Linked DNA regions of Drosophila melanogaster. The protein of the gene in region 3 interacts with the protein of the main gene of each other region in a pairwise test. Each region holds a gene or a part of one and is shown on either strand. Other genes may lie near its edges.

Region 1 (2,720 bases), on a different chromosome or scaffold from region 3:
ACCTCGTCATGGTCGCCGGGGCCCCAAATGGCCGATCCAATACGGCACATAAAATCCAATTTAATTAAGTTGGACTCTCGGATTGAGACGCAGTCGGAGGATCGAGACTCAGATGGAGGCCCACAAAATCACAAAGTAGCAGCTGCCGTGGCAGACAACCTTGCCAACATTCTTAACGTGTTCAAGATTTTTACCAACGCACTGCATTTAGGTTTGTTGTTGTCGCGTTCACTTTTCAAATGCTTACGAAATGTCAATATTCGGCACAAAGTTATTTGTTATTTGATCGGATCGATTGAGCAATTGTTGATATACAATTTTTCTGTGTTTGTTCTTTTTGTCTAACGGTTTCTCATTGATTTGTTAGCTAATTGTATACGAAAAATGTAATTAAAATTAAAACGAGTAACTGGAAACCACAACGCTCGCATGTTAGCTTGACAAACGAAAAATAGGTAAATAAAAAATGTTAACACCTAGATCGCACAGCTGGCGACAACGGTGCGAATGAGTCATATTGCACCAGAGTAGAGTTTCAATTAGTTGCAAATTACGTGCCTAAAGCTAAGAACCAAACCTAAAAAATGTTATGCCGAGTAATTATAAAATATTTGGTATTAAAAGCATACTTGAACACATATGAGTGATACACCCAAAAATGGTTCACACACTTGTGTTTACTTTCTAAATTTCAGAAATCGCAAAATGATTTTACGTAATTTACGTAATTCAATGTTGCCACCATGACATTTCATTTTTACCATTTTTTCATTATTATTGCCCACCTATCAAACCTCAATTGGGTTTGCAATTTTTTAAACAATCGTAAGCCTAATTTGCTTTCATTGTTATGGATAATAAACGGACCCTGAGCTATATATGGCAAGGTTAACCATTATTTTGGGTCTCCATCACTTGAGCCTATATTTTCAAAACTATTTTCGCAAATGCCTTACTTCCTGGCAACCGCGATCATCGCGGGTGTTTCTTTTTTGGCTTACCAATTGGCCGGCTTAATCAAGCCTTCTATATGCCAATTAAATCCATGGCTGCTAGTAATGTTAGTTAGACCATAATTTTATGAAAAAGAGCCTTCTATGTCTTGCTAGTCATGTTTTATGCATAAATTGATTTAAGAGTTGAAAATGCGTCTGCGCATGTAGTATATATCTCTGGTTTTTTCTATGAAATTTTGTGTTCAGCTACATATAACAACGCTTGCTAAGGTATGTGCTTCTAACTTGAATTCATATTTACTCATTCATATTTTTTATATGAATAATAGCAGGTGGTTGTTGAACTCTTTCATTCTGATTTATCATCTGCTAAACACTGAAATTACAAAACTGGATCATTGGAGTATATTACAGATAAAATCTGACCTCAGTTTCTCCATTACAACATTATCAAAATTGTCATATAATTTAATTTTTAACATAATATGTACCTTTAACTGCATTCATGTTTTTTTTAAGTACTCAGGTATCTGCTATAAAAGGAGTAATTCCTTTTAAGCCAAGTATCAGTTGCTTCCTACTCTACATTCAAGCACACAATTAAAAGACCTATTTCAAAATGGCACTCTATTATATTTTGGTGATCAGTGTCCTGCTTGTCCTCGCCCAAGGATCGTATTTGTCGTCGGTGAATCAGGAATCCGGGGTGGGAGTGCATCAGTCTGGAGCTATTTCATCTAGAGCTCCAGCTGCCGGAATAACCCGTGGCTACTCCGCTGCCCCTCAGACCCAACGACCCATCTCTGGATATGGATCCCTCTCTGGTCCTGTTGGAGGATCCCGTCGAGTGCCCGTAGTTGGAGTGACCGGATCTCGTCCTCGTGGTGGAGCTCCGCGTAGTCCGTCTGCTGGAGCTCATGGACGTCCAAATGTAGGTGGATCTGCCCATGGAAATTCCTACCAGAATCGCCAACGCAGCCAAAAGCCTTATTAAGAAACAGAACTTATCATCAGCAAATGACCAAACCTAGATCTACATCCTTATTGTCACATTCTTATTCTACTCTCAAACCTTTTTCTATCGCAAATAATAACAAATGTTACATAAAAACGAAACTTGATTAAGATTATTTTACAATGGCAGGGATAAGATTGAGCATTGGGGAATATTCATTTCATAGGCATTACCTAGTACTTAATCCTTAGCAACAATGTCACCTTTAATGAACTGGTTAATACGCCAATTTCAGCTTTAGCGACAAGTTACGCACTCAATTGGCTGCACTTCATGATTTAAACATTTCTTGAATAGTTGCCCAAAGCGAGTAGCCATTTAAGCTGGGAATATGAATTCGATTTTCAAACCATTTAAAGTTACCAATTTGTTGATATTCGGCTATGTTAAGACGCTGATTCTTGAATCATTAAAATAAGCCAGAGTGCTAAAATAAACAATAAACTAAAGCGCATAAGCACATAAAGCACATATATATACATATGTAGGTTTTAGTACATCTTATTTCGTGCATAACTCTTTAATCATACATGTTTTTTTTTAAATAAATTTTTTATTTTATACATCCTACGATTCTAACTGCTTTACATTTTTTTTTTTTGTAATAAATCTGTATGTTTTTACTGACATTCAAAAATTAAAAAAAAAAAAGCTTACTTTAATTATGAGTATATCCCTTGAACATAAAAATCCCGAGTCCTTGCTAATGAAGTCAACCATAATATACACATAAATATATTTTTTTTTAT
Region 2 (3,760 bases), on a different chromosome or scaffold from region 3:
TGTACAGTATATTGATCTATCTTTCGAGGGCCGGCTGCCGAGTGGAGCTGAACAACGCCAATGCAAGCATTTTTGAGTGGATAACGGACCGCCACATCAGGCAACTGATTTTTGGGCAGCAGGGCGAAGCTGAATCGCTGCCTAGGAATCTTCAAGCTTTGGAAGTGTCCGCAGGATCAGCCGACGGTGAGGAGAGCTCTGCGTCTGCTGGAGCTGAATCCAATGGAGCCGGACCTGGAAGCGTTGCAGCACCCCCACCACCGCAGCGCCAGACATTTGAACTAATGCCAAAGCCAAACGATATCCCAGCCATTGGAGTTGGAGCATCTCCATCCACGCCCTCCGCCTCGCCGGGCGTAAAGAAACTGAACTCCGACGCAACACCGCAAAACGTCTCTCCACAGGTGGCACCGCGCAAGAAGGCGCCCAAGCCTCCGGTTACCACTAGCTCGAGCAGTACCGCGTTGGAAGCCGGAGCGGCGGGACCCAGTACCAGTCCGGTGATCGTCCCCGGTCCCCATGAGTGCATTGTGTGCAATGAGATCCTGCCGATGGTGCGCTTTGAGCCGTGTCAGCATCAGATCGCCTGCGAGGAGTGCGGCATCCGAATGAAAAAGTGTCTCCGCTGTGCCGTGGCGATCGAGCGGCGATTGACGGTCAGCGGCCGAGTGGTGGCCCTGCCCACGTCCACGTCGTCACCTAGTGACCCCACTCGCCTACCGTCCGGGGATCTACTTCGCTATCTGGAGAACAAAGTGCTGGAGTTTGAGGAGTCGCACTTCTGCGGTATTTGCATGGAGCGAAAAAGGGATGTGGCCTTCCTGTGCGGGCACGGCGCGTGCTCCCATTGTGCCGAAACGCTCCGCACATGCCACATGTGTCGCAAGACAATACTCAAGAAGATCAACCTGTACTGAACGGCGGTAACGGAAACGAAAGAAAAGCAAAGGCGGCAGGATCAGCAGCAATTCAAACAGCAACCAAAGTGGCTTGTATATATACATACACAAAACAAACACACACTCACATTGCCGTGTCATGTGCAAATCGAAATTATTATTTATTGATCACAAACGAAATTTACGAGTTCTTTTTTAATCGGTTCATCATCGGCATCGTCGCAACACGCAACAAATTAATGTGCACCTTCTCGTGTCTAGTTATTAGCCCCGTTTAACCATGTCTGGTAACGATAAATACATAGGAAACTAACTAAAGCATACAAATATTTAATAGTCATTTAAATGCAAATATACAAATATAAAATTATTTAATTGAGTGAATTTCAATCGATGTCGGTGGTTAGCCTACAGAAAATAAAGATACTTTATTTCTGAATATGCTGGGGTGACTTTTAATTGTATTGGTATTTAAAAGGTTTAGTTTAAAATTGAATATATAATAAGTTTAGAAAGATTTTAAAACTGAAATGTTGTAACGGCAAAGTGTGAACAAGTTATTTTCTTTCAGTACGCTGCATAAATTTTAAATGTTTTGCATTTTTGTAAGCATTGACTTGGCAAGCTGTCGGATCTTAAGCTCCGTTTAAAAGTTAATGTAAGCAAAAGCGGCAAAGTACAACTTATAATTGAAAATATACACAAGTTTATTTTTTATTTGAGCGAAACAATCGATACCTCCAGATTTACACGCTAATCGATAACAACGTAGCCAGAAAAAAAGCAAACACGTCACAACACTTTGGCCGCAGTCCGACGCGAAACTAAAGTAAAGGACAAAATGGCCAAACAAGTGGCTGATTACCAGTGCAGTAAGCTCCAGTTGTACCAAAAGCTGGCACTGGTCGTAATCCTGGGAGCAGTGCTTTTCTCGCTCCCGGCGTTGTGCGCCGGCCAGGGCAATCCCAGTTTCAAATACTCGCGGGAAGCCAACGAAAACTTCGATCCGCAGAAGGCTCCACGGGCGGAGCACCATCATCATCATGATCATGACCACGATCATGGACACCACCACCACGGGCACGATCATGATCATGACCACGACCACGGGCATGATCATGGACACCATCATCACGGGCACGATCATGATCATGACCACGACCACGGACACCATCATCACGGGCACGATGAAAGGCACACCAAGGCAAAGCCGGATTTGGGTAATCAACGAACTACCACTCTTAAAATGCCCGAGTTGACCCAAATTTCTTATAGATATGAGCACCATTTGGTTGCACTCGATCGGCTCAACTCTTCTTATCAGTGCCGCTCCCTTCGTGCTGCTGTATATCATTCCCCTAGACAACAGTGAGGCGATGAAGCCGCGTCTCAAAGTGCTTCTGGCCTTTGCTTCTGGCGGTTTGTTGGGTGATGCCTTTCTGCACTTGATTCCTCATGCCACGCATCCACACAGTCATGGAGAACACGGCCACGATCACGGCCATGATCACCATCATCATCATGATGGCGAGGAGCATGAACATGGTCACAGCCACGATATGAGCATTGGTCTGTGGGTCCTTGGAGGAATCATTGCCTTCCTTTCAGTGGAGAAACTGGTACGCATTCTAAAGGGCGGTCATGGAGGACACGGCCACAGCCATGGAGCACCAAAGCCAAAACCAGTGCCTGCTAAGAAAAAGTCCTCTGACAAAGAAGACAGCGGAGATGGAGACAAACCGGCAAAGCCAGCCAAGATCAAGTCCAAGAAACCAGAAGCGGAGCCAGAAGGCGAAGTGGAGATTTCCGGCTACTTGAATTTGGCGGCGGACTTTGCTCACAACTTCACCGATGGCCTGGCCATCGGCGCCTCCTATTTGGCGGGCAACAGCATTGGCATTGTGACCACTATCACTATTCTGCTGCACGAAGTGCCCCATGAGATTGGTGACTTTGCCATTCTTATAAAGTCTGGCTGTTCCAGGCGAAAGGCAATGCTTCTGCAGCTCGTCACAGCGCTCGGAGCTTTGGCGGGCACAGCGCTAGCTCTTCTGGGAGCTGGAGGCGGGGACGGATCGGCCCCATGGGTCTTGCCCTTCACAGCCGGCGGTTTTATTTACATCGCAACAGTGAGTGTCCTGCCGGAGCTGCTTGAGGAGTCTACGAAACTGAAACAGTCGCTGAAGGAAATCTTTGCGCTGCTAACCGGCGTAGCCCTAATGATCGTTATCGCCAAGTTCGAGTAATATCAAAATTGTGGAAAGTTAACACAAAAAAGATCTAATTGCATGTACTGAAAGTGTGCCGCAAACAATTTGAAAGATTTCTGTTCGTTACCTACTCAAAACGATGAGCAACTACTTAAATTTCTTATATTTCAACAGTCAGTAACCGCTATTAGTTCCCAATATAAACAATGCGGCGTTATTTAAGATTTTTTAAGCCTTCCAAATTTGTGCTTCACTTCGAAATGAAATTTTTATAAATAGTCAAAATTACACTGTAAAAAGAATCCTCACTGGCGCTTCTCTCCATTCAGGGTTGTCTTTATCTCGTTGAGACAATACTCGGCCTGCTCTACGGCATCGGGATTCTGGTGTTGCTTTCCCAGTTTCCACGCCAGTCGGCAAGCGTTCTCCGCCTGCGACATCAGGCCCTCGCGAAGATACACCAAACCCAGATTTGCCTGCAGAATGCCTTCCTGGGTGGCATCCTTTAGCTCCTTAGTCAGCTCCATGGCCTCCAAAAGGGTCTCCCTTGCCTCGGCGTACTTTTCCAGCTGTAATTAGTCTAATGTGTTTCAAGTACTTTGGAAGAATAGACGCACCTACGTTTACGTACGCCACACTGATGTTATTTAG
Region 3 (3,760 bases):
GATTAGTCGCAATCCGGATAACTATGTCCGAGAAACCAAACTGCAACAGCACAAAAGTAAGTTCATATACGAAGAAAGACCAAAGTATTATAAGAATGCCACTTTCAGTGCCCAGGAACTACGATCCTTCGCTGCATCCTTTGGAGGGTCCCAGGGAATACGTGCGTGCCCTGAATGCCACCAAGTTGGATCGAGTATTTGCCAAACCCTTCGTCTGCAATTTGAGCGGGCATCGCGATGGAGTCTCCTGCTTCGGAAAGCATCCCAAGCAACTTTCCACCTTGGCCACCGGCGCCTATGACGGCGAAGTGCGCATTTGGGACTTGGCGAATCGTATCAGCTCTCGGAACTTTGTGGCCCACGACGGTTTCGTTCGCGGCATTGCTTACACCCAGAACGGAGGTCGCATTTTCACCGTGGGAGATGATAAAACCATCAAGGTTTGGAAAGCAGAGGCTCCGGAAGTCGGCGAGGATGAGGTGCCGGTGAACACTATACTGAGTAAATTTGGACTGCACGGCATCTCGCACAATCGCAGGGATAACAAGTTCGCCACCTGTGGCGAGGTATGCGCCATTTGGGACGAAAGGCACAACGATCCTTTGAAGACATTGAAGTGGGGCGTCGATACCCTTCACACCATATCCTATAACCCCGTGGAAACAAGCATCCTGGCGTGCTGTGCCAGCGATCGCAGCATTATCCTGTACGATCAGAGAGAGGCGCAGCCACTAAGGAAGGTCGTCCTAACCATGAAGAGCAACAAGCTCGCGTGGAATCCCATGGAGGCGTTCAACTTCACAGTGGCCAACGAGGATTGCAAGTGAGTAAAACGGCCATACGAAGAGGATGTGTTGCTAAAATCTTTATTTCTTACAGCCTTTATACCTTTGACACTCGCAAGCTGCAAACGCCGCTGAAGGTTCACTTTGACCATGTTTCCGCTGTCACCGATGTTGACTACTCGCCCACTGGCAAGGAATTCGTCTCGGCCAGCTACGACAAGACCATTCGGATCTACAATGCCCACCACAGTCACTCGCGGGATATTTACCACACAAAACGCATGCAGCATGTGGTCTGCGTGGCCTGGTCCCTCGATAATCGATACGTTTTCTCCGGCTCCGACGAAATGAACGTCCGCATGTGGAAGGCGAATGCCTCCGAAAAGCTGGGCGTCATCCGTCCACGTGAGCGCGTCAATTTCAATTACCAGGAGGCGCTGAAGCAAAAGTATGCCGCTCATCCGCAGATCAAGCGCATCGCGCGCCATCGCCAGGTGCCGCGTCACGTGCTCAATGCACAGAAGAAGATGCGCACGGTCAAGGAGAAGGAGCAGGTCAAGGAGGCCAATGTGCGCAAGCACACCAAGAAGAGCAAGAAGGTGCCCTACGTCAGCGAGAAAAAGAAGCATGTGCTGAAGGAGGAGGTGTGAGGATGATTGCTAACGACTGTAGTTGGATAAGTTTGAATAAAATTGATTTTTGTAAGGAGACTATGTATGTATATATTAAGAAGCCTAATCTCAATTGAGTTTCTCACTTTCTATCATTGTTCTCAAGTGACTTTCAGTTTGGTCAAGTCAAACCGAAGTTATCAGTGAATTTGCTTAGTTTAAACTATTGTTTGGCTTTAATTCAGTGATACTAGAAGAAAGAAGATGTTGATAAGTTCTAAGGAATACTCTCCTGTTGCTCTAGAGAGAAAACTCATTTGCTTTGCCATGCAGCAACGTTTCGCGGAAATTTGAAATTCAATTCGTATCCGATAAGCCCTCGCGGGCGATAACGTTTGGGGAAAATCGGAGAGACGCGTCCATTTCTAGGGGATTCTCGATTATAAAAGGTTGCCAGCCCCACCGTTGGTGCTCAGTATTTGTTCGTTTGTTGTTACGGCAGCCGCCAGTCGGTCGTTAGTTTTTGTTTTCGTTCATTTGTTTATACTCGCGCGGCACTCGGCCCCCCTCCCGTTCCCACATAACCCGTTTGAAAGGCATCAACTGAGAGTCATTGAAATCATGGAGGCACTGGGGGATCTCTTGGCGCCACACAGCGAACTAATCGCCAAGGTAGCCGGCACCATAACTACCCTGCAATTTCTGTCCGGAGTGGTTCTGATGAACGACATCCGCAAGAAGGGTAGCAGCGACGTCTACCCGGTGGGCCCATTTCTCTTCGGAGTGGTGCTGTAAGTAACCTAATTGGGATTCCGTGATGCTCCACTGCATGCGACATCGAAAAAAAAACTAGTGGGCAGGGGGCAGGAAAAGCGAGTGAAAAGAACAAAAGCCAACGCATCTGTGTGGGAATTGATTAAATTTTAGAACTGTCGCCATGACAGCACAGAATCGAGTCTCTTCAAGGCCGCCAGTGAATCGGTTTTGCACACAATTCAAGAAGATAACAATGGAATCGATTACATCACTGCGTTGGCCAAATGGGAATTACACTTCGATCATCCGCGACCGTTACATTTCGAAATCGTTAACCTTGTCGAAAATCCGCCAGCAGCACTTTTGCCGCCTTATCGATGCGAGAACCCTCCAAACACGTAGCTCTTATCTAGAGTGTATAATTTTAGAGCTCCTCTATTACGAATGCTGATCCGGTAGAGTCTGTCCAAATCTGGGAGAGCCGCTAATCGTTTATACGACGGGCGAAAGATACGCGACTCGCCCTCTCCACGTGCTCGGCATAAAGCGGGGCTGCCCAGATTCCAAAGGGGGTGGGCCACCCAGTGGTGGTGATGGGAATATCTTGTCATCTATAAATATAATCTTCTCTAATTATAGCCGTAAGGCTTGTCCATTACTGCATATGAATAATAGTGTTTGCTTAGCAAAACATAATATTTTTTTAACTATAGTTTCCGTAATAATACATTTCTTTAAACAATTCCAAATTCCTGCTGGCTAAAGCACTAAATGTAGATGAACTCTCGAGGAATTTACCTTTTTATTTTTAAATCGTAAACTTTCCACTGTTTGTTTTGAACATCTCAAAAGATCATAAAGTGCCATATGGCAGCAAGTGAATGAGTACCATCAAGTGAGTGTGCCATCACTGCGCCGGGGCTTACTTGGGGGTGGTTTTCCGGAAGGTGTTAACTTGGACTGTGTCAAGTGTAAGGACCCGCAGACATGCAAGCGAAGCAACAGTTGTATGCTAAACGAATTCCACTCCACCCAATGGGCGCTCGAGGTCTCGGTCAAGGGCAGGTTCCTCGGCCAGTTTGCATTTCATTTCGCCCAGCCCGGGTGTATTTCACCATTGTTGTGGGTTTGTTTATAGGTTGATCGATGATAATGCTGATTATTTGTTGAGCGTTGAGCTCCTTATCAAATGCTACGTGTACCATGATTTGCACGCCGGCCCTATTATGCTTATTTATCTATCTCCACCTAGTATAGAATCTGATAACGCAATTAATAAGTGTAAACTGGTTTTTTTTTTCAATGAAGTGGTAGACTGGAGCACTTTAAATGAAAACTAGTTCCATTTCTCTTGATTCGAACTTTCTGTAGCGACTTACTGCTGGAAAACTGGTTCGGGCAGGGTCAATTAATTTGAATTAATTATAATATCCTCAGAAAACTATGCTCTTATCTACAAGTTAACTGGAATTTATAAAATTTCCAGCCTTATATTGAAGAATATTTTAAAATGAATATGAATGGTAACAGTATTACATTTTTGTTTAAATATAAAAACCAAATTTTGTCCTAAATTAAAGTAACTAATTAACAAATTGTTGAACTTTC

Evidence for each region.
Region 1: the proteins of CG7272 (region 3) and CG14332 interact in a two-hybrid assay, tested with the Drosophila melanogaster proteins (one large-scale study listed by BioGRID).
Region 2: the proteins of CG7272 (region 3) and Catsup interact in a two-hybrid assay, tested with the Drosophila melanogaster proteins (one large-scale study listed by BioGRID).

Annotation. Positions count from the first base shown.
Region 1 is NT_033777.3:17,421,032-17,423,751, reverse strand, and holds CG14332 (uncharacterized protein), read left to right. Parts: upstream 1-1,549; 5' UTR 1,550-1,575; coding exon 1,576-1,950; 3' UTR 1,951-2,062; downstream 2,063-2,720.
Region 2 is NT_033779.5:19,040,206-19,043,965, forward strand, and holds Catsup (catecholamines up), read left to right. Parts: upstream 1-1,656; 5' UTR 1,657-1,740; coding exon 1,741-2,119; intron 2,120-2,174; coding exon 2,175-3,145; 3' UTR 3,146-3,409; downstream 3,410-3,760. Other genes in the region: mib2 (mind bomb 2), read left to right, coding at 1-917; Ttc19 (tetratricopeptide repeat domain 19), read right to left, coding at 3,415-3,678, 3,731-3,760.
Region 3 is NT_037436.4:15,499,074-15,502,833, forward strand, and holds the start of CG7272 (uncharacterized protein), read left to right. Parts: upstream 1-1,864; 5' UTR 1,865-2,017; coding exon 2,018-2,187; intron 2,188-3,760. Other genes in the region: CG7275 (uncharacterized protein), read left to right, coding at 1-56, 109-823, 880-1,435.